Caenorhabditis elegans: one gene and its partners. The protein of the gene in region 4 interacts with the protein of the main gene of each other region in a pairwise test. Each region holds a gene or a part of one and is shown on either strand. Other genes may lie near its edges. The genes, in order: drap-1, T27A8.2, rpy-1 and attf-4.

Region 1 (7,592 bases), on a different chromosome or scaffold from region 4:
CTTCTTACCACACCTATAGGTGGTGCAAATTTATATTAAATATTAATAGCCTCGGAGTGAGAGAAACAATTTTTTTTCTAGAATGGAATGTGTGGAATTGGTTTGTGATCTGCGTACTAAAAGTGTGAAATAGAACAGTGTTTTAGGTCAAGCGGTTTAGAGTCTTTACGTCATTAGAAAAGAAGTTCCTTTTCAAACAATTTTTAATGGAAAATGAGTTAAGCTGATATAATCGGTAAGAAGATACTGGCACCGGAAAAGGCTGGCTCGTTGAGCAAAGCACAAACATAACGACAATGAGAAACAATTGAACGACATAAATGACAGACAAAACGTGCGGGGAAGTATTTAAAATCATAATGATTTGGTATTAAAGACAAAGATTTAAACATTTTGAAATTCAGCTAATACATTGTGTACAACAATTTTTTTTGGAATACGTTGATGTTTTTTTTACTGAAACTAACTTGGAACTTGTTTTTTTAACATGGTAAATATGTAGGATGAAAAGATGACACCAATTTAAAATCCAAAGTTAGAAAAATATCTTCCTTACATTTTTTTAACAGTTTTTTTGCGACCAGCCTGCATAATATTTTTTTAATATTGCAGAAAAGCTACACTTTTTTAGTTTCAGTTATTTAATTGATTTGCTTTTTTCTATGCTCCAAATTTGCTGGTCAACTCATTTTGACCATTTTGACTAATTTTTCGATAGCTTTATTATTTCTAGTTTGTTACTTTAATTCCTATTTCAAGTCATCGTCAACAATACTGACCTCCAAAGAATTGAATTTTCGATGATTTTACTATAACCTTTCAAAGAAAAATATATTGTCATCATACCCGTACAAAACTTGAACTTTTAACCATACTACACACTATTTCCCGTCAAATGGAGTTATCATCGAATTCTTCAAATTTCGACGCCGTTTTTTAATGTGACAATGAGCTAGAGGCTTATCACGGATTATTTATAGAACGCTGTGCATCAACTGATAACCGAACAGACTGAAATATTGATGAATGGGTCTAAATATGAATTGGATTTTCTCCCTATTTGCACCAAGATCGACTGTAATATGTGTAGATATTTTATTTTAAGTTGCTCTAAATGACCAGAGAGTTTAGACCAAAACGACTAAGAATATATAAATTGAGGAACATTTAGGAAAAGTAATTTATATTATTTTATTTATATTTCTTGGCATAAAATGTATTTAAATAAAAACAGTCCGTGTCCAGTTTTGAGAGATTGCACCGATTTTTTTTCTAATTAGAAAAGTGGTTTATATGTAGAGATTTTTGAACTATGCAATGATTGCAGTTGATCTGATAAATAACACACGAGTAGTCCGTGTTTCAATTTGCTGTTAGTCTTTCTGAAAACGTGGCAATTATAACCTTGAAGGATCTTTAGTGCCAAAAAACCTTTGTGTTGCTCCCCTGTAGAACACAAACTAATTGGTAATTTTTTGCTTAACAAATAAAGTTGTCATGCTCTTTAGAGGCCCAACAAAAAGGAGGGCTGATATGTGCAATTGTGGTTTTGAAAACTTTGCAGTCACGCACGGCCTGAAATTCTGGGGACAACGGGCTCACGATGTATTTAAAACATTGACGAGTTAGCTTCTTGTATTGTTTAAAATTATCCGTCTGCAACATATTAAACGATTTTCAGACATTTCCATCACCGAAAAGACATATTCGTATTATAATAGATACTGATTATCCGTAGGTAATGATAATTTGATCGTCAACGCCCTAAGGTACATCGTTGAATCACTTTTATTCATGTCTAGTTTTGATATGGAAAGTTGTTCAACTCATCATAAAGTTACGATTACCAGTGATCCAAAAGAAAGTGTGTCACAAGGTTATAACTAGAAGTGTAAGTGGGTCTGTGAAAATGTTATTTTTCTGAGAACAAGGCCATGTCCAAAGGGTTTGCAACTAAATTCAGACGGTACGCAAGATTTGAAACGTACATATCTTAATTTTCTGGAAAATTTGCTCTCTTGGCTTTAGTTTCCAACAAAGTTGGGATGGTTGAAGGCATCCACGTTTATGAAGATTTATAGAAATTTTCCAAAAAAAAAAGTGATAATCCTTACAACTAAAATTAAAGATTTAATCTCTAGAAGTAATCATTTCGCAAGTGTCTTTAACATACGAAACCCAGTCAATATCTCCATTTGCTCGAATGCTGACATGATTCAGAAATTGCTTAACTTCTTGTGGAGTCAATGGTTCTCCAATTGAAGTGAGCAATTGCAATAATGTATCTTTTTGAACATAATTATTAGATGTTATTACTTGAAATGCAGCATGGATTTGTTTCGGAGTATCATCTTTCCATTCTTCATTTTGAATTGCCAATACGACACGGGGCAGAAGGTCATCGAATGAAACTCTTCCATTTTTCTTTGCAGTTTGTTCACTGACCAATTGCAATTCCGTTTGACTGGGGTTCAATCCAAAGCTTCGGAGAACGTGACTCACATCGTCGGTCTGGAATTTCAGTTTAAGAAAGATTTAAAAGATTCAGTGGAGACATTTTAAAGATTCAGTGGATTTAAAAGATTCAGTGGAGGTCCATAATAGCCGAATATCATAATAAAACTCTCCAAAAAGTATTTCGACTTTTGAAAAATTTGAGTCAGTTTTTACCAAATTTTTCAAAAAATGTGAACTTTTTGAGATATTTCATGCATTGGCGCGGGTTTGAATCTCTAAACTGTTACAATAAAAATAACCAAAACAATACTAGAATATCGAAAACAAAGAAAACCTATAGAGATGCAAATTGAGTTTTCAACGAATATCAATAAGAAATTTTCAGCTATAGGTACAACTTTTATATTGACGACGCTCCTACTAATTGGAAGAGCCAGGAGAAACATTTAAGAGTTTATGAAGTATGAAAAATAACTTCATGCACTCGAGGCGTGTTCGCCTCTTCACTCACCCTACTGAAGGGCGCGAGGAAGGCGAGTGGGAAGGCGGGAATAGGCTCCCCGTGACGCCTACACTAGGTGGAATGTCTATTTGATCCGGTTCTTAATGATATAAATGAGTAGAAAGTTGGAGAAAAGCACCACGTGAAAAGCCAAGTTTCAACAGTAACTACAGTAATCCTCACTTCAATCAAACCATCAGAATCCTCGTCAAACATCTTGAATACATCGAAAAGACGACGTCGAATATCTTCTGAACTTCCTTTTTTGTTTAAATTGGACAAAATATTACAAACCAACAATTACAGAATCTACTTCTTCTTTTTGGCTCTCATTTTCCCCTTCTTCTTCAATGTTTAATAAATCTTCATCTTCGCTCAGATCCATAATTTAGCTGAATACTAATATAATGTAGATCGCTCTAGTTGTTGCGCGAGTTTAGTGGTCTTTTCTGTCGGAAATATACGTTTTCTGGTTGAATAATTTTTATATTAAATACTACAAAAACGGAAATTGAATTCTAAAGCATGACAAATATAAAAATGAAGAGAAAAATTGAATTAGAGAGACAAAGAGCAAAACAAGTTAAACATATGACAGAGAACATTTGGAAGGTTTAATGAAAAGCGACGAGCATCCTGATTTATGAAGGTGTGGGTCGGTAATGGTTCATATTGGGAGAACATCGAAGTGATTAAATTTTGATTTGCCAGTGAACGACAAAAAATGAATAAAACAAGAGAAATAGAGAATAGGGTAGACCCGGTGAGGATTTGTTTTTTTTTTCTTAACTTGGAGCAATAGAAAAGGAGAAATTTAGATCAGAAATGGAGGGCAACGAGACCATTGAAAAGTACACGATTAGGAGAAGAATAAAATTTCTCATAGAGAAGTGAGGATCACGGACGGCCAATAGGCAGTGCTGGAGGAGGCATCAACTCGCGATCCTTGTCTTCCTGAAAATGATAATTTTGCTTTAGATCAAAAGGATCACAGAACCGTAAATCAAATTACATCTTTAGAACATTTTGATTCTATGTCTAAACTTTTCAAATATTACCTTGGCTATATTCCTAGAAGCTTCCTCGTAGAGATCATCATCAATACATTTTTCAGGTTTTAACTTCTTTGGGCGTCCTCGCTTTGGTCTGTCTTCTCCATCACCATCAGTAGATGCTCGTTTTAATCCTGTGAGACGTTGTCCTTCAGAATCTTTTTTCGAGTATTTGAGCATTCCTAGCATACCATTTACGAGTTGAGTTGTCGGAGTGCTAGGAGAAAGTGGTACGGTGGCTGTGAGTTCTTGAACTACTGGATAATTGGATGGAATCCCTTGAAGATAAAGTGGAAGTGGTGCTGCTGGGGATTGCGGATCAACTAAATAAGGAGAAATAGTTCCATCTTCTTGTTTCAATGCTTGTTGATCCATTTGCATCATTTGCATCTGCGCATTGGCAAGAATTGCACTAGCAAAATCTGAATTTTGTTGCTCTTGGAGCATTTGCTGTCCTCTCAATGTCATGCCGGTACGTGCAGTATTCAATTCAGATGCTTGCTGTGGAAGTGCAACATCTTTGAAGACTGATTCTAGAAATGAAAAGTGTGGAGTGTTGAGAACCGCCTGCTTCATGTGTTGAGGGTTTAGCGTCTTTGAAGATGTGAATTGAGTAGCTTCTGCGGCAGCCTCAAATATATATTCAAGGTTCAAAATAACTATGACTGAGTCTTCTCACCTGTAAAAACTTCTCCGCAAAATGCTCCATTGCTCTTCCGATGCTGACAGGAACTGACTGAACCATTCTTCCGATATCCTCATCACTTTGCATAACCTTCTTTATGCGTGTTGGCTGAATTTTTGCAGTGCTGAAACGACGTCTTCGGATCACAGCAGCTGCCTGTTGCTGCTGTTGGTTGCTGCTACCTGTTGATGATGAAGCACCGGCTGATGAAGTGGATGCCAACGTTGACATTTTTTCTGAAAAATAAATTTAAATAACGATTTGATCCTAATCTGTTAATTCTTAGATATTACATCTACAAATTGTTTTAAGTCGCATATTTTTTGAAGTTTCTAGATAGTTCATGATCCAGAAATGATGCCGGATACTGACGGTTTTACCCAAAACAAATTAAGGGTTTTTGAAAATAAATAAGCTTTCATTTTAAGATTTTATGAATGTACGTTTTCCGATTATCTATAATCGAGTTTCTTTTTTGTTCCATCCACCCTAAAAGATAAGGTCAAAACTAACGAGTAGCCGATGCATAATTGACGGGTAACATCGGCACCGCAAAGCCAACATCGCTTCCTCTATTCTGATCCATCTTGTTTTCTCCTCTCTCGAAATATGTATTCTCTGGTTTCCTTCCAAAAGTGTCAGTGTCTCCGACGGAAACGTTGCTGACGAGAGAAGACGATGTTGTGGAGATTTGGAGGCACAAAATGAGAGAGAGAAAGAACGAACAACGGGTGGTTTTCGAGAGATATAGAACTATTCCGAAGACGTCATCGATGATGGGCCTGAGACTAACTGAAAGTTGGAAGCTACTGTATAATACTCTTGAGGTAAAGCGATGAAATGAGAGATTATTGAACCATGAAAGAAGGACATGATGTTTCATTCATAGAAGCTCTCTTAACAACTTTGGAAAAGACATTTAGAGCCCATGAATAATCAACGCAAACTTTTTTTTCTAAAATTAATGGTCACTATTTGATATTGATTGGAATTATTAAAATATTCTGTGCTCAGTAACAAAGGGATTCAGATAATTAGATTTTGTTATATTTCATTTCCCGTTAGAGCAACTCCGTTTCGCAACAAGTGTGTTATGTTCTATATGTTCTGTATGTACACAGCCGTTCGGGTCTCATCGATCACTATAACAATATAGATCATCACATCAGTACAACAATTGATAACAAAAAAGAGGCGTGATGGTATCTTCCTTTTTTCTATTTCTCGCTTTCATTTTGGTTATTTCATTCTTTAATGATAACGCCATTTATTCCATTCTGCGTCGTGTCGATTCGATTCGATGTCAACGCACACACACACACTTACACATCTACTGGCCAGGACTGGAGGAGAGCGCGTAAAGACGAGTGATTGAGCGCTTCGGTGAGGAGACGAGAGAATCTAAGGGAAATAGTGTATAAAGAGGAGATAGAAGGGGGAAAAACGGAGAATAGGAGCAGAAAGGCGCTGGCCGATCACACGCAGACCTCGCGTTCTTCCCTCCTTTATATACAGCGGACAAATCGGTGATTCGCAGGTCTGCGCGACTACGGTACCCGCTGCTTGTTCTGCGTCTCCACGTGTCGTTTCACTACCTTTTCCCCCTTTTATTTAGCGTGCGCCCGCGCCGCGCCGATGTTTGAGAGTCTTTGATGCAGCTGTACGGGCCGAGATGAGAGGGAAGAGAAGATGAGAGAAGCAGAGAGTTGAGGGAAAGAACATAGACTCCTCCTCCGCATACTCGATTTGTATGTTTTTGTGTGGACAGACGGACAGATGGATAGATGGCTGATTTGTCAGCTTGCCGTCGAATTATTGATTGTTCTTTTGTGAAGCAAAGTCGAGATATTGAAATGATGAAATTATCTTAACTGTTCAGTATTTGCATAAAGAATTATTGAACGGATATTTTTGCAATTGTTGCCTATGAGGTGATTGAGATCTTTTTGCGAATTTTTATTCTCCAATTTACTAGAAAAAAAACTTAGAGGCAAATTTGCGCAAACATTTTTAAGTTCAGACCAGGATGGGCGGCAAAAGAACATTTTCGGCAAATATATTGATCGACATTGATCAAGTTAAAAATTTGGCCAAATGTCTTGTGCACATTTAAAATATTTTGAAAAAAATCTACAAATGAAAGAAAATTTAATTCGTACAGCAGTGAAGTTTTTGTGGCAAAAGATTTATCTAATTTTTCTTTGTATATTAACTTATAAAAATTTACAGATTTTCAGATTTTCTTCTTGGATATGAACATTTTTAGAGAATTTTCAATTTCCCAGCAATCGGCATTTTTGGAAATTGATGAATTGATGAACTTTCGATAACTCAGTATTTTCCGCAATTGTTTAACTGTCAAAATAGCGAAATTGGAATTGTCGCCCAGCTGGTTCAGACTACTTAGAATTAATAGAAAATGTGATATCTTTTCAGAAAAAAAAATCAGAAATTCAGTCGACGATTGAATTCAACATTGTTTTTCGGAAAGAACGAAATTGAACACGAATTTACTATTTAATTATGCAGAGTTTTTTAGTTTATCGATTTTCAATATTAAATTTTAACCAATAAAAGAACTCACCAGTGACAATTGGCTGCTGCTGAAGTCTCAAATGGCTTTCACGTCGTCGAAGTATCTGAAATATTACTAAATTTTTATAAATTAAGAGAATTGTAGAATAAATGAAAGTAGACAAGAGAAAAAACAAAATAATTCTGATTTAAACGTCCCGCATTTCAAAAACTCGAAAACTATGCAAGCACGCTCTATAGACGCTCATTCAAACCAATGTACACAGCAGGCACTTTGTCAACGTCACCATTCGATGTAACGCTGTTATCGGTTTTTTTTTCTCGATTTATTTTTAATTGAGTATTATTTTTACCTAAAAAA
Region 2 (6,849 bases), on a different chromosome or scaffold from region 4:
GACAAAGGGAGCCAAACAAATTTATCAGCGTGAAAAAAAATATAAACTGTATATTAGTGAAAGAAATTCTGTCCAACTCGCAAAATTAAAATCATAATGACGAGAAAATATGCTCAAAATGAATGATTTTGCAAAGAAATGAGTTGGCACGATTTTTCGCGCGGTCCGCAATAGTTTGTCGGTGTCACGTACAATTGTCGACCGTAACCTTTAAATCTTTAAGTCTAGAAGACAAATGTGACAAGTCGACTGGGAAATTTGATAAAAAGTTAAAAACATATTAAATATTGCTCACAGAAAAAATTGAACTTGAATTTGAAGGAAATTGAAGAATTGATGTGTGCTGATGAATTTTTCCGTGGAATTCATACAGTAATATAAAAAATATAATTTTCATAACATCGAATTTAGAATTTTCTTCAGTTTAAAATTTGAACAGTTGAAATAGTGAAAAAGCGAAATAATATAAACATTTGAAAATAGTTCGTGATAAAATTGAATACCAATTCCATTTCAGGGATGAGCTCATTTTCGTCGAAAGTCCAGAAGGCTCGGCTGATTTGGAAAACATGGGGGATTTGACGGAGAAGGCTGGCGGCGAGGGAACGTCTGGAGCCCCAGCTTCATCATGAGCTGTTTTTGTTGATTAATTAATATTGCAACTAATTATTGGTTTGTTACTTTTCTTATTAATTTCTTTTATTACTGCTTTTTTTGTTTGTTGTTCAGATGAAGTTATTTTTGTTACGAATTCTGCTACAATCAACCAAAATTATTTGTTCTGGGGCTTTCATGAGCCAAAAATGCTTCATGTCTTTCCGGCCGCTACATTTGGACCCATTTCTACCGTACTCATGCCCGTTCGCAACGCACGCGTGAAGCATGCTTCCTTTCGCAATGCACGCGTGAAGCATGCTTGCTTTCGCTACGCGCGCCTGACGCATGCGTGACGCGCGTCTTCGCTTGGTCCTCTCAGACGCGTGAGCGAAGCGTGTGAGACGCGCCACGCATGAGCCGCGAATCACCTGTGAGGGTTCAATCCCCTCACCGAACCAAGGTGGTTCTGAGTTGCTCACATGCTCAGATAAGTGGAAGTTCGGAAGATTGATGATCAAAAAGGTGGTGTTGAATCTTATTGTTTCATTCAACATTGACAAAAGATCGAAAAATGTTTTTTTCATTTTCATAGAATTGTCTTCAACTAGGCTTATACTCTTTTCACTCTCTTTTTCTGCTTTAGTTTCCCACAGCGTTTGTCAGAAATAACAAAGTTTGTATGATTTTTTTCCAATTTTTCCGGAAGAAATTTATGTTGGTAGGAATGTTTTGAACTGAAGACAAAAACTCCTGTAGCGCGACCAAAAACGAATTTCTTGACCCAGAAACGTACCCATAATACTAAAAAAAAATTAGCAACCATTTTTAAAAAAATTCTCCCAAAATTCCGAAATTTTTATTTTTGTTTTTTTTGTGCCTGTATATACCTGTTGAAATTGGAATTCAAGCCAAAAACCCCTGTAGCGCGACCAAAAACGAATTTCTTGACCCAGAAACGTACCCATAATACTAAAAAAAAATTAGCAAACCATTCTCATAGAAACTCTCCAAAAATTTCAAAATTTTTTTTTTGCAAAAAAGTGCAGTCATATGTATGTAAAAAAATGAATTGAAGACAAAAACCCCTGTAGCGCGACCAAAAACGAATTTCTTGACCCAGAAACGAACCCATAATACTAAAAAAAAAATTAGCAATCCATTTTCATAGAAATTCTCCCAAAATTCCGAAATTTTTATTTTTGTTTTTTGTGCCTGTAAATACCTGTTGAAATTGGAATACAAGACAAAAACCCCTGTAGCGCGAACAAAAACGAATTTCTTGACCCAGAAACGTACCCATAATACTTTTAAAAAAATTAGCAATCCATTTTCATAGAAATTCTCCCAAAATTCCAAAATTTTTATTTTTGTTTTTTTGTGCCTGTTGAAATTGTTGATATTGAGGAAACCTGTTGAAATTGGAATTCAAGACAAAAACCCCTATAGCGCGACCAAAAACGAATTTCTTGACCCAGAAACGTAATACTAAAAAAAATTAGCAATCCATTTTCATAGAAATTCTCCTAAAATTCCAAAATTTTTTTTTTGCAAAAAAGTGCAATCATATGTATGTAAAAAAATGAATTGAAGACAAAAACCCCTCTAGCGCGGCTAGAATATAACTTGTAGGTCCAGAAACTTATCCATAATCTTTTAAAAAATTTAGAATCCAAATCTATGGAAACCCTACCAAAATTCCAAAATTTTTGTGAAAAAACTTCTGTCGAATACCATAGGAATTCTTCTAAACTTTGAAAATTTTCATTTTTGTTTTTTGCGCCTATATTTGGATTACCGGGGGGAGTCCCATAGTTATTGGCGGGACATTCAAATTTTCTAAGAAAAAATTTAGGCGAGAAACTCAAATTTCCTGAGAAAAAAAAACATTTTGGCAGGAAATTCAAAGATTCATAGTCCGGAACTAGATTTGCTTTCTTTCCTTGTTAGTAGTGCGGCATTTCTTTTTGCTGCAAGATATGCCGTTGTTGTTCTGCTTATTTCTGGAAAAAATTTCATTTTAATATTTTTGTGAAAATTTTCTGTTTTTCCATGTTTTTCTATGAATAACTTTTATGGAAATTTTTATGAATTGTTTAGCTTTAACAATCCTTCTAACAGTTAGGAAATGACTAAATATTATAATGGATCTTTTAAAAATTTGTGGAATTTTTTTTTATTTCGGGTCTGATCGTGCGCCAATTTTGGAGAAACCAAAACACTGTTGCTTGTTTGAATCCCAACAATATTAAAATAGGATTACTGGAAACGTGAGTCAAATTTAAAACTGAAGGTAACTTTTTTTTTGAATATTTTTATTATGATATTTGGACATTTTTAAATTTTAATGTGAACGAGTTTTAATCTTTTCCCACAGGCCGTTGTCCATCTTCAATTAAAGTTTTTTTTCATCTTTACAATCATCAATTTTATAAAACCTTCAACTATGCTCAGATATAGCCGACTCAAACTTTTCATAATTTCGAAATTCAATTTTTTTTCAATTTTTTTGTTTCCTTTTGATTTGGTCATTACGAGTTCGTTGTCGTGTCAAGATTTGACCTACGACAAGTTGGTGTTGCCTGCAATGCGTGAGTCGCGCGACAGGTCTGCCCTCGTCTTCCGCACACTATTATCGATCGATGGTTTATGGCCGTTTGCTGACATTTGAATGTGCCATTCTCTCATATCCACAGCTATACTTTTTTGTGGTTTTTTTTTTGTTATTTTTCATGTAATTTTCGCCTAACTGAATCTGACGTCTGCACGATTTAAATTTTTTCCCACTCGGCAAGTTGCCGCAATATAAGATCCAAAAAAACAAGACATTTCTGTATTTCCTTTATTATGTACGTGGCAAATAAATTTGAGAACCTTCAACTAACTAAGTAAATTTTCATTTTCAGCTACCATGACGTATTTCACTCACGAAATGAACCAAATTATGGGGCTTCATCATCCGGAAATGGCGATGCCCAAGTTCAAAATGGTCGCCCTGGTCAGTGCTGCGATGGAAGAAGCGGATGACGTGTTTCCGGAGATTGAAGTAGTTGTCAAGTGGATCACCGACTTGTTCCCGTATTACAAAGTGTTTCACGATATGTACAAATGGGAGTTTGTTAATCATGTGGCCTGGGTTCTGGACACCGAACTGTGCTTTCGTCGAGAAAGGTGAGTTTTGTGAAGTTTGTAGAAATATTTTTAACAAAAATTTGAAACATTTCAAATTCTTTTTCAAATATTATCGGAAACTGAATTTTGTTGTCAGATTTGCGTGTAGCGTTTAAAAATTGGTTTTCATATAATTTTCAACAAATTCAAGTAAATCCAGAATGTAATTACAACAAAAAATAAAAATAAAGTTCTGCTAAAAAATATCAGATAACAAGTTATATAGCCAAATCATACAATTGCTGTTCATATAATTTAGACATAAGAACCAGAACTGTGCGGCAACCGGCAACCAAGTTGCCGGTTGCCAAAAATTTGCCGAAATTTCGGCAACCAAAATTTGCCGGTTGCCAAAATTTTTTGGGTTTGGCAACTTCGGCAATTGCCGGTTGCCGCACAGCCCTGATAAGAACCCCACAATTTCTCCAAAAATTTCACCAAAATTTCTTTTTATCAGTTTTTTGGAAAAACAAAAATATGTGAATACTCATAAAAACTGTATTTTTTTGGTTTATAAATTTTGCTAAATTTAATCACTAGCACTTACTTAAGAATAACTCCAAAAAAAACTTAAGAAATAACTCCAAAAACTATTCGTATATGTTTTTTTATACTTTCAATTTGCAGAGACGTGAGATCTGGACTATGGGCTTATGAAGACGGCAACAAGGATATTCTGGATGTTGAGGAGGAGTTTCGAAAGGATATAGACGAGTTGAAGCAATATGTGGAGCATCAGGTGGAAATGGTATGTTGCCATGGAAATTTCAGTCATATTATATTAAAAATTGTTTTGCAGACGGATCTTGCTGGACGGATGTATTCGATGTCCTCAACCGGGTGATCTCTTGACAAGTTTTTCATAAAAATATTTCATTTATACATTAATTCAACTTATTCACTTTTTAGATTTTATTGAACCAATTCTGTATATAAAAAAGTTTCCAGTTCAAAACATTCCTACCAACATAAATTTCTTCCGGAAAAATTGGAAAAAAATCATACAAACTTTGTTATTTCTGACAAACGCTGTGGGAAACTAAAGCAGAAAAAGAGAGTGAAAAGAGTATAAGCCTAGTTGAAGACAATTCTATGAAAATGAAAAAAACATTTTTCGATCTTTTGTCAATGTTGAATGAAACAATAAGATTCAACACCACCTTTTTGATCATCAATCTTCCGAACTTCCACTTATCTGAGCATGTGAGCAACTCAGAACCACCTTGGTTCGGTGAGGGGATTGAACCCTCGACTGTTGACTCCACGGTCGAGTGCTTTACCACACTTGACCATGTTGCCAGCTCAGGATGAGTCACTGATTGCGTTGAGTTGGCGCCATGAAAACGTGGCGCGGTGGCGTAGAATGGCGCAATTTGTGCTGAAAAATGAACACTAAATGTGGGTAAAGTATATATTTCTAATATCAGAATTTTGCACTGATTTCAATGGGCAGCTTCAAATTGTTCAATTTTCAATCTAGCAGAAATTGGGACTTTTGCCAAAAAAAAAAATAAATCGTCAAATTCTATTTGTAAACCACGTTAAACATTATTAACTGTGAAAATGGTAAATGGTCCCATATCAGGGTGTCCCACAAGAAGATGATCTATAACGAAGTATCATAATATATCAATAAATCCAATTGACAACAGGTACTTTTGGTACACCCCTTTTGGTTGAGAAAAGATGGGGCGCAAAAAATAAAGTCATCGAATAAAAAAGTGAGACTGGCACCATTTATAAAAGTGCCGTAGCACGGCGGACAATTTGCAAAATAATTTCCAACAGCTGCAACACAGACAAATTAATATGACTTGAGGTTTTAGCAAAACTCTGTTTTTTTTTCGATACTGAGCTGTCATCAAAACTGAATTGCATTGTTTCAGATATCTATTTCAAAAGTTATTTGAGATAAGTTCAAGTCCGAGTCGGATTTAAGTTTGAAACCACTAGCTAGTCCACCTTCAAACTTTAATTTAGATCAAAAATCTTTTAAAAACAATTTTTGTGGCCACTCGCGCAGGTAGCCATCCTCCCTGCTGCTAAATTCGCTTTTAGGCGGTCACAGATATGGGAAGGGGCATCTGACTTTTAAATATAAAGTGCCATGACTCGTTTTTTTTTTTCAAATTTGCCGCAGGGAGTTGCACATTCTGTGGATAATCAATATGGTCGCTGTGGGGGGTTGTCCATATGGCCAGGGGTAAAAATCGGATAAGATGGTGCTCGTTTTTACCCGTTAAAATTTAGAAAAAAAGCAATATTTTGAAATGCTAAATTGTGTTTATTAAAACCGGTTAAACAAGACAAGGAGTGTAGCAAAAAGATAGTCTGTGAAAGCTAGCGAAACAATATAAAGCAATGTGTGTGTGTGTGTGTGTGTGAAGCCAAATCATTTTTTCCCGCCGAACAAATTTGACGTGTTCTGAAATCAAACTGGATTGCATGTAATGTAAATTTACACAAGTCATACCATCGATGAAAAGTTTTCAAACTTTTTAATGATTTCGGAAACAGATGAACAGGATGTATACGTATTCTCAACCTGAAAGTTGATTCAATTTGGGTAAGCTATAAATTATTTTTTGAATTTAGTGGGCATTATAGTTACAGACCAGGGGTGTGCGGCAAATCTCAAAATTTGCCGAGCTCGGTAAATTCGGCAAATCTCTTTTTCCAATATTTGCCGAGCTCGGCAAACGGCAAATTCGGCTATAAAAAATGTAGAAAAAAAATTTTGGTCGACTTCCGTTAGTGGCAAAAACTGAGTAATTGTCACTTTTAGACTGTAAATAAAAAATTTTCAAAAAAAAAATTGAAAAGTTTTATTATGATATTCGGTCATGTTGGGACCATAATAGTGGTTATTAACAATTTTCCCACTGGCGCTACTCCACTTTTAAACTAGAAATTTCCTTACATAATCGCAACTTGAAAATTTTGAAAGCTCATAGAACACCTATAATATTACCTTATTGTCACTCACAACACTTATCAATCCATTTGAAACTGATGTGTCCTCCTTCTTTTTGCGCTCCATTATGATCCAAACCATATTTTTCGGCTCTGGTGGCTCAGGTCCAT
Region 3 (8,987 bases), on a different chromosome or scaffold from region 4:
AATTTTATTAATTTTTTGATAGCTGTATATTTTTCACATTTTCCTAATACGTGTAACTCAACGAGGGTGTCTCCGATTCCGCCTTTTCAACGACGTTTATGTTTCAATTTAAATAAACGTTAAATTCATAAAAAGTATTTTGTACCTCGCAAACACATATGAATATTTAAACCAAAATTGGAATAAAACATTATTTATTTTAGTTATTTCAGAATTATGCTTACAAATGACAAATAATTCTTGAAATCTGTTCAGCAACCCATTTTCCGTTAGAATCAGTTGCAGTGAAATACCAATCTGGGCTCTCAGCCAAAACTTCCAGGTAATTTGGATTTGGTCCAATCGAGACCACGATCGAACGGAAATTGTATTTTTGTTGAAGTTGATGCATATAACTGGATGCACTTCCATCAAATGCAGCTATATCACTAAAAAGGTAAAACTTTGGAATATGTAAATAGTTGTTATAATTGTAACTCACTCAACGCCGACGGTGACCAGGATATTAGTGGATGAAGTTCCTGGATCGCGTTCCTCAAGAATATATTCATATGCTCTGAAAATTTTGATAATGAAGAAGTCTACATTTCAAGCTTCTAAATTGCAAAAACCGGCTGTTAAACATAAAAATAAATTGAGTACCTCTCAATCTTTGGGTCAGTCAGAACCATAACTTCACTGTATAATTGATCAATATTTATGTCCAAAAGTTCAGTGCTCCTGAAATTAAAAAAAATAATTAGGACCAAAATTCAAGATAAGAACTCACGTAGCATCTGGATAATGAAGTATGTAATTTTCATAGACACCTGAATCTGGATATGGTACATTAATAGCTTGAGTGCTCCCATCTTCAAAATTGTAGTTTGTAGAATTGTAAAGATATTTCTGAATGAAATTAAGAACTCCCTGTGTTTGTGGAAGCTTTGTCATTTCGTAAGCCAACGCGATTTTTCCATTGAATTTTTTGGTGCATGGTGGGAAGTTCACTTAAAAATTGATTGATTAAATATCTGGAAATATAGTGGAAATCTGAAAATTCAAAATTTCGCGCTATTTTGGCAAGCTGGCTTGGGTGGTTTTGGAATATGTATGAAGTAATAGGTTTGTGTAGCCAGGAAATAATGGTTATCAGTTGAATGGTCTCAGTGCATTCATGCGTTGGGTTTTATAGTTTTCAAGTCAGGAAATGATTTTTTTGATTAGAGACGGAAGTTGAGAGACTGTCGGACAAAGTTTAAAATTTTAAGAGGTAAAATGATGACATTATTCTGAAAGGCGTCTGTAGTGTTTAAAGAAATTATGATGACTACAATAATCATAATCACTTAAAAAACTATAAGATTTTTTGGAAACTTATCACTTTACAGTTCTTTGAAATATAGATAACATTTTGATTTAGATCATACAAAGATTGCTGCCCAACTTTTAATTATTACAGTTTACAGAGGTCATCTTTAAAATTTTTATGCTAGTTAAGTTTTGAATTCAAATATTGGAAGATGGAGTTAAAAAATACAGCGGTTATCTATGTTTAAGTTCTCCTAAGCCCGTACACAGTTTTCAATTCAAAATTGCTTTCACCGTTTAAAAATTCCCCCGATTTTGAATTTTTTTCTGTTAAATGTTGAAGTTTTAGAGAATAAAATCATGTGGGTTCATCTATTTTCAGAATTTTTCTCAATGAGATGGACAACTATCACACAAAGTTTCAGCTTGTGGGTGTTATCATGCACAAGATTTCATCATATTCAAAAATTGAAACAAATTTTTATGGAAAGAATTAAAACTTTGAAACATATGAATTGAGATCAAAAATAAAAATAAGAATAACTTCTAAAAGATTAATTGAAAAAAAAGATTGAAAAGTGAACATGAGCAGGAAAGAAACTGGTGGGTGACAATGTAGAAGACTAGAAATTCAAAATTTTGAAGATTCCTATTTAAAAAAAAACGATAAATGATATCACAAAACAAGGGATTTCGAGGGGATGATTGCAGTTTGTATTGAGGCTTCAAACATCTGTTACTGTAGGCGTGTGAGTTATCACAAGAGGACCATCTTCTGCTAGTGGCATTGCTGGAGGAAGAGCTACTATTGATGATGGAGGTAGGGCTGCCTGAAAACATTCAAATTTAGGTGATTTCTCAAAATACAATTTAAGGTCATATGAAAAAATTTAAAGTTCAGAAAGATCATTTAAACTCCTTCAATAATATTACCTGTGAGCAACAAGGTTTCCGTGGAGGTGGTGGTGGTTTATGATTTGCATTCGAATGCGTGTGTGACTGCGATGTCGTCGATGCAGTAAGAATCGGTTCGGAAGCACAAGAAGCCGTTGTTGAAGGTACTTCAGGTGACGGAACTGCAACTGCTGAACATGCATTCGCCGCTGCAGATTGTTGTGATTTTAGCCTAGCAAGACTTCGATCAACTCGATCAATATCTTTCTCGGCGCCACGAAGAATCTTGTCCTGTTGTGAACGTCGTGTTAATGTGGCTTGTGGTGTGATATCTCCAAGTTCGGCAGCTGCTGAGACAAGTGGAGTGGCAACACCTCCCGGTGGGGCGAAAGACGCTGAAATTAAAGTTTATTGATTACGCGCTGACATTCAAAAAATATTTTTTCAATAATGATAAAAAATAAACCTTTAAAAATACTATTAGAATAGTTTTCAGAAGAAAAAGTTCGCTTTGAACTAAAACTTGGACAACTTCTTTACCATGTTTTTTGCTGAATACTCTACAAAAGTTGACTTCAAATTTCGGCTTCATAGTTTAATATTTTTTCGAATAAATTTTCAAGTATAAATGTTTATAATAAAAATCTTACTGCTAGGACTCTGAACATCAATTGTTGAAGCAATAGAACTTCGTATCGAGATATTGTCCGATAAAACAGCTCTGCATCTACATTTCGGGCAGGTTTGATCTGTTCTTTGTAGGAGATACGTGTGTAAGCATCTGAAACATTACAACTTTATTTTTAGAATCTCTGAAACTCATTCATACTTTTCATGGAAAATATGCGAACACCTAAGAGCTTGAAGACTCTCATCCTTCAATCCATATCTTTGACCGCAGAAGTTACAAAACAATTGCATTTCTTGTGTTAACCGAGACGCAGCTCTTCGAGCAGTTTCCTCAGAATCGTCATCATTCAGTTGAGAATATAGTTCGGCTAGTCGGAGATGGCACTTTAAGACAACGTGCTGAAACAAAATTTTGAAGTTTTGTGGAATCATCCTATCGATTTTGTACCTTGCACCCTATCTGATTTGCAATTTCAATACACTTTTTATTCAATTGAATAGCTTGACATTCACATTGTCCAGTGTAATGAGATCGACTTTCAGATGCACTTTTTGCCATTGACGAGAGCACTAATACCTGAAAAACACTCAGAACTTATTAAAATTATTTTCTCACAATTCCCCAGAAATATACTCATGTTGTCTGATCTCTATGTGAGATTGTGTCAACCACAAAGCTTCAAGATTTATGGGAAAGTCGTAAAAGTTATTTAATGGGAAAAGAAATTGAGACCTGGATGTGAGCTTTTGGTTTTATGAGGTATTTGGTTGTACCAATAAATAATTGAAGGTTTTTTGGCCACTTACTTCGCCCATTTTATCATTTGCTCCGCGCATTACACGATAAGCATCTTCGTATCTTGCCCAGGATTTCTGTAAGAAAGAGTTTATTATCTAACAATAGAAAAAAAAAACTCATTGATTTCTAATACAAGTTTTAATGAAAGTTAGTTGTTATTATTAACTTTTCAAGCATAACGTTTTTTTACTGAAATAACTGAGAATTTAAAATTACTCACAGTGATAGTCTCTTTGGCTTCACTCTCTCCCAATTCTCTATAAATATCTGCTAAACTGCACATACATCTTGCATGGATCGCTCGATTACCCATCTCAACAGCTAGCTGGGAAGCTTCCTGGAATCATTCAATACTTTTTGAAGTTCTTAAACTTTAAATAAAAACTTACATCGCATGCTTCCTTGGCATCAACCAGACTTCCTTTCATCCTTAGAGCAACTGATAAATGATAAAGTATCAAACAACGATACTTTGCATGAACATCATCAACAGTAACAGATTGAACAATTGCGAGAGCATTTCGAAGAAATATCAGAGCTTTAGTGATATCTCTGAAAATAAAAATGTGTTATTTTTCATTTCTGTACGGTTACCTCAAAAGAGTAAAAAGAGATCCTAGACCAACACAAATTTGCAATTCGAGTAACCTATCCGATGTCTCATTGGCAACATTCATTGCTGACTCGAAACTTTCCAGACACTGTTGGAACTGGGACATTCCTAAGTGTGCAAGTGCTATTGCTGAAATAGCCACAGTTTTGTCTAGAACCTATTGAAAATTCTTACTTAAATGTGCATAACCAGGCGTCCTGGGATCCATCGAAGGATGTTCTAACGATGCTTTGCCATACTGGAGGGCTTTCGTGAAATCTGCTAATCGTTCATAGGCTTTTGCTAGATTCAAAAATGCCTCGCATTTCATTGCTGAATCGTTTTGATCGGTTGCCAACTGCATTTGTGATAGAGCATATGAAAGCATTCCTTCGTATTCTCCCTGGTCGCAAAGAGCTTGAGCAAGGTATCCGAGAGTGATAAACCGGTCTTCTGCATTGCTGAAAATGGACGTTATAGAAAAGAAGAGGAGTCGTCTGAAAGACTTACTTTAACCTGTTCAGAGACTGTCTCCATTTATTGATAGCCTGTGCGTAATGTCGTTGATGATAAAGTTTGACGCCAGCCTGCAGAAATAAATGTTTAAAATTGGGGAATGCCAAACAGGAATGATAAAACATTTTAAAAAACATCACAGAAGTTCGCATAAATTTTAGTTTCCGAAAAAAAAATTCCCCATATCAAAACTATTACCAACCTGCATGTGTTGCTTTGCTTGCCGCTGTCCCATTGATCGTCGATGATTCGTGATGAGATTGATGTTGTCGCGACACACAAAAACACCCATTGACCTGAATAATATTCAATAATTCAAACTTCATGCTCAATATATCTTACCTACAGACCGGCGGCAAGTAATCATGTAGTTTTTAGTGATGGCTCTTCTTTTTTCTACGTGTGTGTGAAATACGAATAAAAATTATCAATCCTATCTCATCTGAAAATTAGGAAAATTTTTATTGAAGTTTTTATTTTATAAATCTTTCGATGCAGAAAGAGAAAAATGTGCATGGTGAAAAATAAAAGAAAGAAAAGAAGAGGACAATTGATGAATAATTGTTTTAGAATCCATTTCTGAGTCTGCATGCAATAATGATGGAGTACCAGAGGATCAATTATGAAGGGATTACTGTAGATTTTATATGCTTTAGCTATTTCAGGCTCTTGCACAAAAAGTTCCACCCCACAAAAAACAATTAGCTCAAGCACATTTTGTTTGTGTTGACATTTTCATGAGACGAGAATTCTTGGATGACTTTTGATTGATATTCGAGATGAAGATGAGATAGTATGAATAGACATGGAGATTTAGAGATATAGGTGAGAAAGTGATCCATCAATTTGAGGTCATGAGACGATTGAGGAAAAATTGGTGGGGAGCAAATGAACGAAAAATGATGGGATTGGAAACGGAAAATGAGGCGAAAAAAGAGAGGGAAATTTGTGGAAGATAATGGGAAACAGATAAGAAATGAAAATGCCAATTGGATAGAATAAAAATCAATTTGAGAGAAAAACATCAGAGCAAGCGCAAAAGTGCAAACTGCACAAAATAAACTATCTGCCTACACGCATGTTTACTGGCATGACATAGAAGAAACTTTCAACAAAAAGTTAAAATGGGAGAAATGTATATCATATACAAGAGTTCCCAGCGACACTGAAAAATTGCTGTAGGCAAGAAAAATGGCAGGTAGGAAATATGGGAATAGTCCTAGAATGAACTATATTTATTAGAAAACTAACTAAACATATACTTCAACTAGAAGTCAAGTTTTGGAGTTCGAAAAAAACCTGTGTTTGTGCAATATACTTTTAGAACGAAAGGAAGTCCGAACTCAAGATAAATTCAAACTTTTAAACTTTTTTCACCGTTTACAACTCCGCCCAAAATGTTTTTTCGGTACTAGTCCCTATTTGAAATCACTCTGTCAAATTGAAATTTTCGGGAAAAAAGAAGAGTAGTACTCTCTAATGTGACCCGCCGGCTCAGGCGAGCTTCTCAGGGGAACTGAATCCAATTTGGAATGAAAAGAAATTTGGGACAAAAGAAGTGAATACGGGGAAAAAGAAAGTAGATCTAGAAGAAGAGGAGGTCTAGTACTTTGATGCACATCTTAAGGAATCCGTATTCCAAATGTTTTTTTTCTTGAGTTGCCCCAAGCTCTCCGAGTTTGGAAAAGGATGGGAAACGGAAAATCGAACTCCCATGGGAAATTGAACAGAAATTGACATTTTTGTGAAGAGATGGGTAAAGAGTTGGGACACATTGAATTGTGTGGAAGAAAACGATGAGAAGAACCGATTAGATTAGAAATATTTTTAAGGATGAAGATGAAAAAGGATTATTTAGAAAAAATAAATCAGGAAAATTTCAGTTTCGACAATAAAATGTTAAGGGAATAAAGTTCCACCTCTGGATGCCCCACTTGAAGTATTTTAAATAAACAATATTTTTAGAAATCCAAATATATTTTCAAAATAAGTCTTGATGTTTTCAGCACTACATTTTCATATCGACGTAATTTTAAAAATGAAAAAAAAAATTTCGATCAACAAGAACAGTGAGCCATGGTTTATTGTAAGTTGGAAAAAAATATGTTTCACTAACATGATTAATTTACAAAAAAATAACTCTACATTTGAACTTCAATTATAAATTGAATGTCGTGAAATAGAAAAAAAACTATTTGAAATTGAGAGTTATTAATAATTTTCTAAAAAAAAACACAATTTTGAAATAGCTTTTTTTCCTAATTGCAAAACTTTTGGTAATGCATCAAGTCATTCATCTTGTCCATAACTACAAAATTATACACACTGAAAACTGCAAAACTAAAGAAAAATCTTTACGGCCCTCACCACACATTCACAGAAGCGAAAGAAGAGAAAAAAGAAGAACAATAAAAGAGTTTCATCAACACTACCGCCGTATCTGCGTCTCTTCGTCTCTCGTACTCTCTTCAACTCGGGTGCTCCAGTGATTAATTGGCGGGCTCCGGGAGCTGAGAAGAGATGAATTGAGAGGAGGAGTGGAGTAGAACCGGGGCGCCAAATGTCATCCGTCAAAAAATTCTTTCTTCTTCTCCGCGTCCGTGAAATGACGACGGTGCGGAAAATAAGAAGAGAGTAATTTTTTGCTCTTTTTCTCTCTCATTCTCACTCTCTATATTTCTCTTTTGCAGAATATTCTCACATTCTTTAATTATTCGCCTCATTGAATCTTTAAATATCTAGTTTTCAGGAAAACGTTTCGGGTTTTGCAAAGACTCGAAAGTATTCGACGCGAGTTTTCGGAAAAGTAAAAAGGACGAACAAAATACCACCATGGATTAAGGAAAGATCATAGAAAGTGAAGGGACACAGAGATAAGAAATGATTGACAGACGGTTCAAAACTAAAAAGAAATACAACGAGATGGCAACATTTTCGAAGATTTTTGGGGTTTTCAAAACGAAAAAGAAAATGGGTTCTTTTTGCAAAATGGTGTAATATTGTTTTGAGGGATGCACCAAAGTTCCAGTCAGTGAAGACTAAGCAACTCACACTCGTCAATTGGATAAAGGTTGCACTTTTGATAGATTGAGAACATTTGGAGCAAACTACAGAACTTGGGAACCGTTAAAGGGCTAGTTGGGCAAAAAGGATCTTCAATGGTGACAGTTTCGTATTCATATATTCCTTATTGAATAAATTAGACTTGAAAAATCATTGCAAAGGTAAAAAAATTTGGGCCTAAAAATTACTATCTTTCCAATAGGAATTCCACGGGCGCCTGGCTAATTTCTGTAAATCGAAAGTCTGCAAGTTGTGCAGGCTGCAAGTTTGCTGTTTCAAAATAATTGACTATCTATTATACTATTATATAGCAATAAAGTATTTGGACAAAGAAAAAATTTCAGCTCACTTCTAAATTTTTCTGTAACCTACGCCATTTGAAAAGGGCCTTTCAAATAAGATCCTACAAATTTATCGGCAGTGGAACAATTTGAATTAGAAAATTTGGAAATTTTGAGTACGAAACTTTAAAGATACTTTTAAATGCAATTGATTAAAACTAAATTTCAATAGTTTTTTATTCAAAAATCTTTTTTAGTCCAATATTAAACAAAAAAAATAGTTTTTCAAATAACAAAATTCGGTGCAATTAATGAAAAATTAAAACCGCTAGAGCTTGAAAATCCAACAAACGCAGCTTCTTGAGAAAAATTAATTGGAAAAAATAAGCGTTCTTTCCTATATTTTCGGAAAAAAAGTAACCGGAAGGGAATGAAAAAAAACAGAAAAAGGGAGAAGAGACCATGACAAAAAATGTTCTTGGTGGGGGTGGTTGGAAAACTGGGGTGTGTAGTGGAGAATCGTGTCTGCTCTTCGGGGGGCTCCCAGAGAGAGCACATACACTCGGACCTCCATCCACATACTTTATTCTCTTTTCTCTCACACACATCTTTGGCTCCGTGAGCCATGGCACAAAAAGAAGAAAAGAGAAAAAGGAGTGTGTAGATGACAGAAGAAAGAGAGGGAAAAAATGTATAGGAAAAGAGAGTAGAGAGACGATAAGAAGTTAGAGATCGATATGAAGCGGAAAAAAAGAAGAAGAAATGCCAGTTTGAGCACCGCCGGCGTCGATCCCACGAAACTTTTTGTCTTCTCAGGCCACAATAAACTTTGATACAAGATTTATTGAAAAATGACATGAACGTTGAGCCCCTTCAAAGTTGTGAAAAACTCCATGAAAGATGAGCTCGAATAATGAGAACC
Region 4 (9,422 bases):
TCAAAAACTGTCAAGGCATTCATTTGGTAGGACGGCAAAAGGGGTGTAATTAGAAAATTGAATTTTTCAATTTCAAAAAAAAAACTTGGGAAAAAAATCTGCGGAAAGTGGTGGAGGGTAAAAACCTGTTTTTGATCTATTCAATTGATTCAATGCTGCAATACAATAATACACAATTTTTAACTGAAAATTGTAAATAAATGTGAATGAGGAGGTTGCGGGCGCACCGGCCTTGAGAGAGGTTATGGGAGTGAAGATGAAGAAAAGTTTTATTTGATTTTCAATGTTTTAATGTTTATTATAGACCTATTTTTTAGTTTTTTATAAAAATATCCTGATTAGACTCCTCCAATTTTCTTCATATCTTAATTTTTAAAAAGTTTCATTAAATAAAGAATCCCCGATTGCCAAAAGCCTCCTTCTGAAACTCCAAGTCTCTCCAATTCTGGCATTATTAATTTAAATGCATAAAATCAAAATTTCTGGAAAAATATATTAAAATTGGATGCACTTTTGTGCTCTTTTCCATTAATTTAACCCATTCTTTTATTTATTAGTTATCGCCTTCTGTCGTGTGTATGTGTGTGTCCAAAACCCTTGCCTCTCTTTCTCTTTCAACCCAAAATGCGTCCATAAAATGTTTGAATGAATTAATGAAATGGGGAGTCGTTTACTACGCTGCGTCTCCTTTAAATCACTTGATCTCTCATTTTCTCTTATATATTTCCAAATCATAAGAAATTTTGAAATATATAGAAATTGAATGACAGAGAGAGAGAGAGAGTAAGAGTAAGAGCAGATGTTTGGCAGTCAGACAACGGGGGGACCGAGGCCCACATTAAAATTGAATGAAAAATTTCGAAAAAGAAAATTTTTATTTTGCATTCACGAGTGGTAGGGGAAAAAGAGGAAACAGCGATTAAATATATAAACATTGAAAACTTTTGGGCGGGGTTTAGTGGAGCAAGTGGGAAAGCTTATGAAGATGTTTGAATTCAGAATGTGAATTTGAACGTTTGGCCTAGAAAAACCAAAACTTCGGCCAGCGATATTTTTTCTTATGTAGGCCAGGATCAGAGCATCCTTTTTTGCTACATGATATAAAAACCTAAACTTCGGGAACTAATTAATTTTTTTCAGCAAACCTTATCTACAGTTTTCTGGATGCAAGATCTTTATTTTTAAAAGAGCTGCCGAGTTCTAGTATTTCTAGACCACTACGTGTGGCAACATTCTTTCTCTTCCTATTTTTAGCTCTATATACCCCGGTTGACTTGATAGGCGAATTTAATTGAGAATTATAAATTTTCCATTTTCCAAAAAGTAAAATTCCAAATTCAAATGTTCTTTCTCCCACTCCAATATTGTAACATACAATAAAATTTAATCCTATCTCTCTTTCCTCTGTGCTTTCCATAACCTCTCTTCCATTTTGCCCGTTGGTGGCAGGCGATGGGCGGGTTTGACATCGTCCTTTAAGAATAATAAAATGTGTCATTTGGTGCCCTCTTTATCTCTATTTCTCTATTCCTCTCTAACTCTCGTTTACAAAACGCCACCTGCTCTCTCTTTCTCTTCATTTGACCCCTCTACTCCCAACACCCAAACAGACACCATCCTTTGTTCCGTTTTTTTTGGTTTTTTGATGGTGGACAGTGGTGATGGACATTTCGTTTTACTCCATGTTTTATTTTATTCTAATGTGCTATGTGTGCAACCAACATCTGCCTTCCACCGGTATAATGAGATTTTGACTAGGGAAGGGTCAACTCATGGTCACGTTGGCGACTCTTTTGGGACTTTTGAGTGAACATTTCTAAATTGTAGATTTTTCGCTATGGCCAGTTGTCAACCCTAAAAATTGGGATTTTCATGGTTTTTAAGGTACTGTTTTTTTCATGCAATATTTCAAATTCAATTATCTACAAACAAAAATATTTTCTGGAAAATATTCAACTGAAAAGCCAGCTGATATTTTCCAGCATTTTGTCAGTTGATAACTTTTTTCTAGCATCACAAAGTTATGATAATTTAAAGACTCTCCACACTTCCAACAGAGGTAGCAAAGAAACGAAAAGCTCTCGCTCAATAGGGTGCTGAGAAGCTAGACTCTGCACTCTCTTTGCAATTCCAGTTAGGAAATTTATAACTAACTAAAAATTGGCAAAAAATATTTTAATATTCTGAATTTATAACGAACTTTTGGCTTCTGGGGTAGTCACTTTGAAAGCTACATTTTGACGCGCCTTTTTTAAACGCCTTTTCGAAAATTTTATTTCAAAATTCGTTTAGTCTTCAGAATACAATATGATTCTGACATTTTTGGCAGAAAATTACATTTTTCACACTCCGTGGGAGGTCTATAAATTCGTTTTATGTTAATCGTGGCCAGTTAAAATTTTCAGCGCGTGCGCCTTGAAACTTTATTTTTCAAAAAAAAAACTTTTCCCCCCGATTACGCCTTCCCCAATTCTCGCCTATTTTGTTACACAAATTTAATTAAAATTTTTTCTAAAATTTTCATTATTTTCTCTTTCCCTCTCTCTTTTTCTGCAAAACCCACCTAGAAAACAATTTATGTGAAATTAAATTGTTATTTACTGCGCAACCGGAAAAATAAAATAAAATTTAAAAATTTGTAAAATGCGAAATCAGCAATTCAAGTATCTCTCTCCCTCTCTTTCTGGTGTCCTCGTCATCCACTACCAGCCACAAAAATAAAAAAAGAATTTCGCATTTTTTATGTGATTCAGAGAAGTGTCTCCCGTATTCGAGTACTATTTTCGAGTTTTGCAATACATCTTATCAAAAATATATGTTTTGGGGTGAAACGGGAAAATAGAAAGAGAGGGACAAGTGAGAGAGCAGAATTTAATATTTTTGATGACTTTTTCAAACAAATTTTTTTTGTTGAAAACTTTTTCCCTCACTTTTTCACATTTCTTATCATTCTTCTTCGCTTTCTCGAAATTTAATTTCATTTTTTAAACGCATTATCAATATGTTATACTTAATATTTCAGATCAACTCAGATGATGCTCCAACCGCCAACTTTAACGCCGAATGCGAATGGTGAAGAGTTCAGAGGATCCGTCAGTACAGATCGTAGTTCAGCTTCTCCTTCCAACATTGACGTGAGTTTGGATTTTCATCGTTTTGATGTGAAAAAAGAACACTATAAAAAATTACAAGACATATAAAAAAATTTTACTGTATGTCTTTTTTCAAACTTGTTCCCATGTCTTACATATTTAAAAACTATACATTAAGCTTGGAGAGAGGTTCAAAATTTTTGAATGTCTGAAAACCTACATGGGCGACCTCTAAAATTTCTAGACTTTAACAACAAAAAAATTGTGTTCTAAAAAAATTTCGCAGTTTCAAAGATGTAACGCAAATACATATATTACACATTTCTCAATCTTTTCTCTTGTTTTCGCACTCGTTTTGCCCGCCTCCCTCATTCATTTTCACAATTTCTCTCTCGTTTATTTTTTGCCTCAAACATCTCAAGATGATTTTTTATTTATTTCGAAGAAACTCGCAATTTCATTTTTTTCAACATTTTTGCCTCGCTCGTTAAATGTAAGAGAAATAGACATATTTTTCGATATGTATTGAAAAAATTGAGGTGAGAGTGAGAGCGATGAAAATGTGCTAATTCAGAAGGCAAACAACTTTTTTTTTCGATATAAAATTTATGAAACATTTTTTTTCGTTTTCCATATTTAGAAGTGCTTTTGGAAAAGGTTTAGTTTTGCCTTTATGCTCACTTTGAAATAAAATTTGCCGCTGTGGGACTCTGTGGGACTCGGAACCACACATATTTTGTTTTCCCGCTCTTTCTCTCCCTTTTTTCTGTTTAACAAAACCTTTTCAAAATAAAAAAAAGAGCACAATTTTCTTTTGGTTTTTTTTTGCGTTGTCCCCACAAGAATTTTATTATTTTATTATCTACACATTACACGATAGAAAATAAAACGTAGCGAAAATATTATCAGTTATCGGAATCGTTAAAATTATTGAAAAATTATAGATGAAAAAAATTCTTCTTCTTTTTCTTTGATAATGATAGGAATTAACAGAAAATTTCAATTTAATGATGATTGTTAGATGCTCGCGGAGCACACGACAATTCCGTAAAAGTGCGCGAACAAACAAACAGACTGTTTTTTTTGTTGAAAAAGCGAACTTTTCCTCCTCCCCTTCTTTCAATTTGTGCTCTCAAATCATTCATTTTTCCTACAAACATAAAAAACCCAATTTCTTTCGATTTTCCGTATTTTTTATGGCGCTCTTCTAAAACCGCACTATTTCTTTTCCATTTTTTTTCAATCAAATATTTATATATTTTTTTATTTATTTTGAGAAGGAAAACGGACAGGGGGGAAGGCGAGGTGGTGGTTGAGCCAGCAGCCCGCTCCCTCTCCTGTCACAGCAGCACCCAGCCACCACATACATACAACCCTCAATTTGAGTGAATTTGTGACCAATTTTCTAAATTTATTTGGTATTTGTTAGGTTGCTGCACGAATTGCTCGAATATAAATATATCTGATACATGAGTTTTTGCAATTCTTATTGATCAAGCTTAAGCTCTTCTCTAATTCTGAAATATTTGTAGGAGATCATGGAAGACGATGTGAATCAGAAGGACGAGGATGAAGATCTGAACTTAGTGGATCGTGTCAGCAAGCTCGAGACAAATTTTGTATTCATTCAGCATCAGGTGAGTGAAAAACTATTAATAAATTATTTTATTTTCTAAATCGAGAATGAAAGAAGTAGAAAAATATATTTGCACAACAATTTCGACAAGTGCAATGTGTAATGCAACAAGTCATAGGTGTCTAGTATTTATTTTGAAAATTTCCAAAAAAAAACTCGACTAGACACAACAATAGGCTTACCGTCCGTCACACATACTATTTTTTTCGATTTTTCACCCGTGGAATTCATTTTCATTTTCATTCACAAAGTTTACATTTGACCATCTCTCTTTCCCTCTGTCGCCCTGTCTCGGGGCTCACGCATCGTATACATACCGGACAGAGGAAGCAGATTGAAGAAGAAGAAGTGAAGACAGCGATCGTCAAATAGTGTGTTTTGTGGGAGGAAATAGTAGAATGATCCAAAAATAAATTAAATGTCAACATTTATTGACGCGGAAAAATGGAAAAAAAATATAATTTTATCGTGGTGTTATGAAATTTAAAATATACATGGACCCATTGAACTGTATGTTTCCAGCTATCCTCTATCATGAACCATCTTCATGCTCCACAATGCAAGTGTACAACATGCTCCAAAGTCAACCAACCTGGAGCTGAAGAGCAGAAGAATGATACATCAGTGCTCTCGCAGCTATTCCCTAATGCTTCTGATCAGCAACTCAAGACTCTCCTCGATCTCTCGAAAATGAACAAGTTGCCATCACAAGTTGTTCACAAGGATCAACAGAACGGATCATCTTTTCTACCATCAGCAAATAAGACCTCTGAAAATCCAAAACCTATTGAACTGAAGCCTCTGAAGCTTGGACAAGGCTATCAGATGGCGAATGGTGGAGGTGGAGGCAAGATTCATACCGAAAGACTCTCAGAACCAGCGAGAAAGCAGAGCCGGAAAGTTGGATTCCCACCACCAGTTGCTTCATATTATCAGAGAAAGGAGAGCTCGAATCGTAAGTTCACTATACAACCACAGCGCAATCTAGAAACTCTAATTTTCAGCTTTGGTCCCGCCAACTCCATTGTCGTCCATCCCAAATCTGATTACAAATTCCAATGCAGTATCAGCCAACACTTCAACAGCTTCACCAGGACCCTCCTCGGAAGGAAGTGGTGATGATCATCTTGAGGCTCCAAATGAGGTGGCTCACATGCATTCTAGTACCGTACCAGCTACACCAACAACTCCAGGAGCCAACTTGTTCACTCAATGTAAGTAGATCCGCATGTTTTTTCTTAAATTTTTGCCAATTTCAATTATGCTAAAGGGAAGGAAATCTAACTTTAAGTAATTAGAGCAGTACTTGAATTATATTTTTTATCAATGCAAAACAAATTAATTTTTAATTTTTCAGCTATGGTCGATATGCTCAAACTGAATGCACAAAACGCTGCTCACTCGACAGGTTCTCCTGGATTCTTACGTGGACGTGGTCGCGGACGTCCAAAGCTTATCGGAGATGAACTTGATGCTGATCTCGTTGACTACATGGTTTCCCTGAAGAACTCAGATCCACATGGTGGCCACTTCACCGCATCTCAGGCCCTGCATATGGCTCGTCAATACATACTCGAAAGAGCTCCAGGCCTTCTCGAAGAGCATGGAGGTCATGTAAAGCTGAAGCTCACCTGGGCGATGAAGTTGGTGTCGAGAATTGGGGAACGACAGCGGGAAATCGAGCTAGGACTTCCAGCCGGAACACTGTCGAATATGGGACGAAACTTGACAAATATACCGGCTGGTGGCAATTTTATGGCTGATATGATGGCTCAGAACATCTTTTCGCAGCATATGATGATGGTGAATCAACAATTGGAAGGTGGATCTCCACCAGCATCTTCTTCATCAACTGCCACGACATCGACAGCCACGAAGACAGTGAAGCAAGAGTCGAAAAATGGACATCAGAATGAGGAAAATTTAAATGTGAAACAAGAAGGTGAGTTGTCACGGGTTCTAGTCCAACTTCACTTGAACCTTCTCTAAAATTATAATTTTCAGCCTCCACGATGCCCGAAATAATAAATATCAAAGAGCTCAATCTTCCATTCCTCAACAACTTCCTTGCCGAACTAAACGACAACAACTCGGGACTGATTGACGGTGAAATTGGTGCAGCAGGTCCATCCATGGCTGCTCTTTTTGCTCCGAACGCATAATTTTTAAAAACATTTTTTTGTTTTATTTTCTTGTTGTAACATTTTACTACTGAACCTCCATTCATCTCAAAACAGACCACCCGATTTTATGGGTATTTTTCGATATATTCTTATTGTCAATTACTTCTACTTTTTCCCTGTCATCACCTCTTCCTATATGTATCATTTTCTACACATAGGCATCACTTTCAACATGTTTTATACTTGCTTTTTTTTTTGATTTTCCAATTTTCCAATTTTCCGGCATCAACATTCACAAAACAAAATATGTTAACAAAATTCAAATTAACAGTATTCAAATAAATTATACAATCAAATATTTCCTTTTCAAGTATTATTATAGGAACGGATGAGAAGTGCCACGTAGGCAATTATGCGAATTCCGATGAACATTCCAAACAGAATTGAAATATCAAAAATTTTATGCGAAGCCGAGAAATCGATCTGTAATTTTAAACCATAAAAGCTTGAACAATGAAAGTTCCACCTCGTTGTGAAAAACTTCTTTTGAGCATTATTCGATGTTCAGAAAATAAACACCAAAAAGTCTACGATTTAGTTTGGTTAAGTAATCCAACACTGAGAAACAGATTTTTTAAATGTTCCTAAATTAATTTCTAATAATCCAAAACACTAACCGATTCCAAAACTTGATGCCCATTTTTTGGGCAGCTATCCAACGCAAACGCAGTCATTGAACTATTGAAACACTCCGGAATCACTTTGATCGAATCCCATTCATTGATCGCGAGAGCTTCATAACCGTATCTAAAAGATTTGTTATTATATAACACAAATCATCATGTTTACTTGAAATAAGAGAGCGAAGAGAGCCATTTAAAGTAAGATGGAATGGCGTCAAATGTTATGAAGAATCCTCCAAACGCCATAATTGGAACTACAAAGATTGGAAGTATTGTCATGGCTACATCAGTGTTGGCAAAGATCGTTGCGACAGCGTAAGCTGAAAAGAAAAGAATGAAGCAGCTGTCATCTCACAGGTCAAACTGAGCACAGCTTACAAATGGAAATTGCCACGTTTGTAATCAAAATTGTTACCAGCGACGCGAAGCAATAGTTCCAGAAGTTAGGATAGAGCCCAGACATCCAGTAGACAATTGTATTGTATAGAATTGGAAGGATTATGTATTGAGGGAGTTCTGCAATGTTTTTCGCAAGAAAATATGCACTCGTTCGATACACTCCATTTGCATTTTCTCGGAGTACAATTGGAAGTTCTGCCGTAATAACCTGAAGATTAATTCAAATTCTGAAATTAATTGGCTGCCTGGTACCGGAACATTTGGGAATTGAAGCATAAAGTTCATATTTCGAATGTGGTTGAACATTATTCCATTTATCGATATTATCGTAGCAGGTGTGACTGGAGTTTGGAAGAATACTATACCAGTTATAAATGCAGTTATCTATACAACAATATAAATAGTAATAAAGCAGTGACACACTTACAAGAATTTGAAGTAACCTGACAGAAAGCAGATTTGGATCCCGGATTACTGTCAGCCAAGATCTCCAAAAAAGAGCAAGAAATTGTGTCCAAAATGATGCATTGTAGCTGAAATTAAAAATTTCCGAAGTAATACTATTGAAGTAATACTATTGTTAAAGCATTTCTCCTATCTGTGATGTTTAAGCACCAAACAATGGAGTTCAAATCAAGATTCAAAAATGTGATAGGCAGGCAGGTAGGTGTAAATGATAGGCAGGCAGGTAGGTGTAATACTTTTGATGTCAAATTTTTCCAACTCACTCTTGATTAAAAAACGTTTTTGTTTTCTCAGATGTATCACTTCCTGTTACAAATGACGCTGCTCGAAGTTTGTTCGCATTTCCAATTGCTAACACCGACTGGCCCAAGTCCGTAGACAAAAATCCTTGGCGAATTTTCTTAAAACAATTTTATTGAGTTGTATATCTTTTTGATTCTCACCGAAATAGTTTTCATGGAAGTTGCTCGATCACTATCAATTACGGCCAGAGTCCTTATCAGATGATCCGCAGGATTATAGTATGCCGGGCATGGATATCCACATTTTTCAAATAACGGCACCGCTTGATCACCTGGCCCCAAGTATATGACACGCCCACAAGCCATGAGACAGACACTGGAAGATTTATGAGTTTTGGAAGAAAATATTGCAAAAGATACTTGTTGAAAAGAGAGTAGACATGACTGCTGGGTTGATGAATTGTGATAATAACTGTCATTCCATTATCCGCCAAACTTCTGAGAGCTTGAACAACGTGACCTGAATTAAAATACATTTGTGCACAAAAAATTTCCTAAATTGTAAAAAATAAGAGACATTCAGGAATTTAGTTCAAAATTTACTTTTTTTTTATCTTGAAACTTCTATATGTAGATTATCCCACAAGAATCGAAATTTAAAAAATTACATCATCAATTGCAAGAGTTCTAGTTGTTTTCTACAAAAAAAACTCACCAGCCATAAAAGCATCTAACCCAGATGTGGGCTCATCACAAAATAAAATCTTCGGGCATGTCAATAT

What was found.
Region 1: the proteins of attf-4 (region 4) and drap-1 interact in a two-hybrid assay, tested with the Caenorhabditis elegans proteins (one large-scale study listed by BioGRID).
Region 2: the proteins of attf-4 (region 4) and T27A8.2 interact in a two-hybrid assay, tested with the Caenorhabditis elegans proteins (one large-scale study listed by BioGRID).
Region 3: the proteins of attf-4 (region 4) and rpy-1 interact in a two-hybrid assay, tested with the Caenorhabditis elegans proteins (one large-scale study listed by BioGRID).

The regions. Positions count from the first base shown.
Region 1 is NC_003283.11:9,729,855-9,737,446, reverse strand, and holds drap-1 (Transcription factor CBF/NF-Y/archaeal histone domain-containing protein), read right to left. Parts: upstream 5,489-7,592; 5' UTR 5,283-5,488; coding exon 5,210-5,282; intron 4,933-5,209; coding exon 4,691-4,932; intron 4,642-4,690; coding exon 4,018-4,641; intron 3,914-4,017; coding exon 3,857-3,913; 3' UTR 3,425-3,856; downstream 1-3,424. Other genes in the region: cal-7 (EF-hand domain-containing protein), read right to left, coding at 2,131-2,511, 3,143-3,210, 3,254-3,344.
Region 2 is NC_003284.9:16,055,591-16,062,439, reverse strand, and holds T27A8.2 (Fork-head domain-containing protein), read left to right. Parts: upstream 1-3,494; 5' UTR 3,495-3,505; coding exon 3,506-3,765; intron 3,766-4,392; coding exon 4,393-4,513; intron 4,514-4,564; coding exon 4,565-4,609; 3' UTR 4,610-4,764; downstream 4,765-6,849. Other genes in the region: T27A8.7 (uncharacterized protein), read right to left, coding at 6,158-6,190, 6,239-6,310, 6,737-6,820.
Region 3 is NC_003280.10:6,700,481-6,709,467, forward strand, and holds rpy-1 (43 kDa receptor-associated protein of the synapse homolog), read right to left. Parts: upstream 5,164-8,987; 5' UTR 5,064-5,163; intron 5,018-5,063; 5' UTR 5,014-5,017; coding exon 4,924-5,013; intron 4,793-4,923; coding exon 4,716-4,792; intron 4,667-4,715; coding exon 4,401-4,666; intron 4,356-4,400; coding exon 4,208-4,355; intron 4,166-4,207; coding exon 4,003-4,165; intron 3,951-4,002; coding exon 3,834-3,950; intron 3,688-3,833; coding exon 3,622-3,687; intron 3,392-3,621; coding exon 3,263-3,391; intron 3,214-3,262; coding exon 3,014-3,213; intron 2,966-3,013; coding exon 2,835-2,965; intron 2,580-2,834; coding exon 2,224-2,579; intron 2,121-2,223; coding exon 2,016-2,120; 3' UTR 1,753-2,015; downstream 1-1,752. Other genes in the region: C18H9.1 (uncharacterized protein), read left to right, coding at 1-2; C18H9.6 (uncharacterized protein), read right to left, coding at 221-428, 482-556, 643-720, 770-933.
Region 4 is NC_003281.10:6,077,541-6,086,962, forward strand, and holds attf-4 (AT hook-containing protein attf-4), read left to right. Parts: upstream 1-3,022; 5' UTR 3,023-3,035; coding exon 3,036-3,134; intron 3,135-4,624; coding exon 4,625-4,729; intron 4,730-5,250; coding exon 5,251-5,683; intron 5,684-5,732; coding exon 5,733-5,942; intron 5,943-6,085; coding exon 6,086-6,670; intron 6,671-6,732; coding exon 6,733-6,890; 3' UTR 6,891-7,208; downstream 7,209-9,422. Other genes in the region: ABC transporter ATP-binding protein/permease wht-1, read right to left, coding at 7,218-7,334, 7,529-7,658, 7,701-7,854, 7,913-8,141, 8,186-8,317, 8,361-8,466, 8,662-8,798, 8,842-9,016 and 2 more.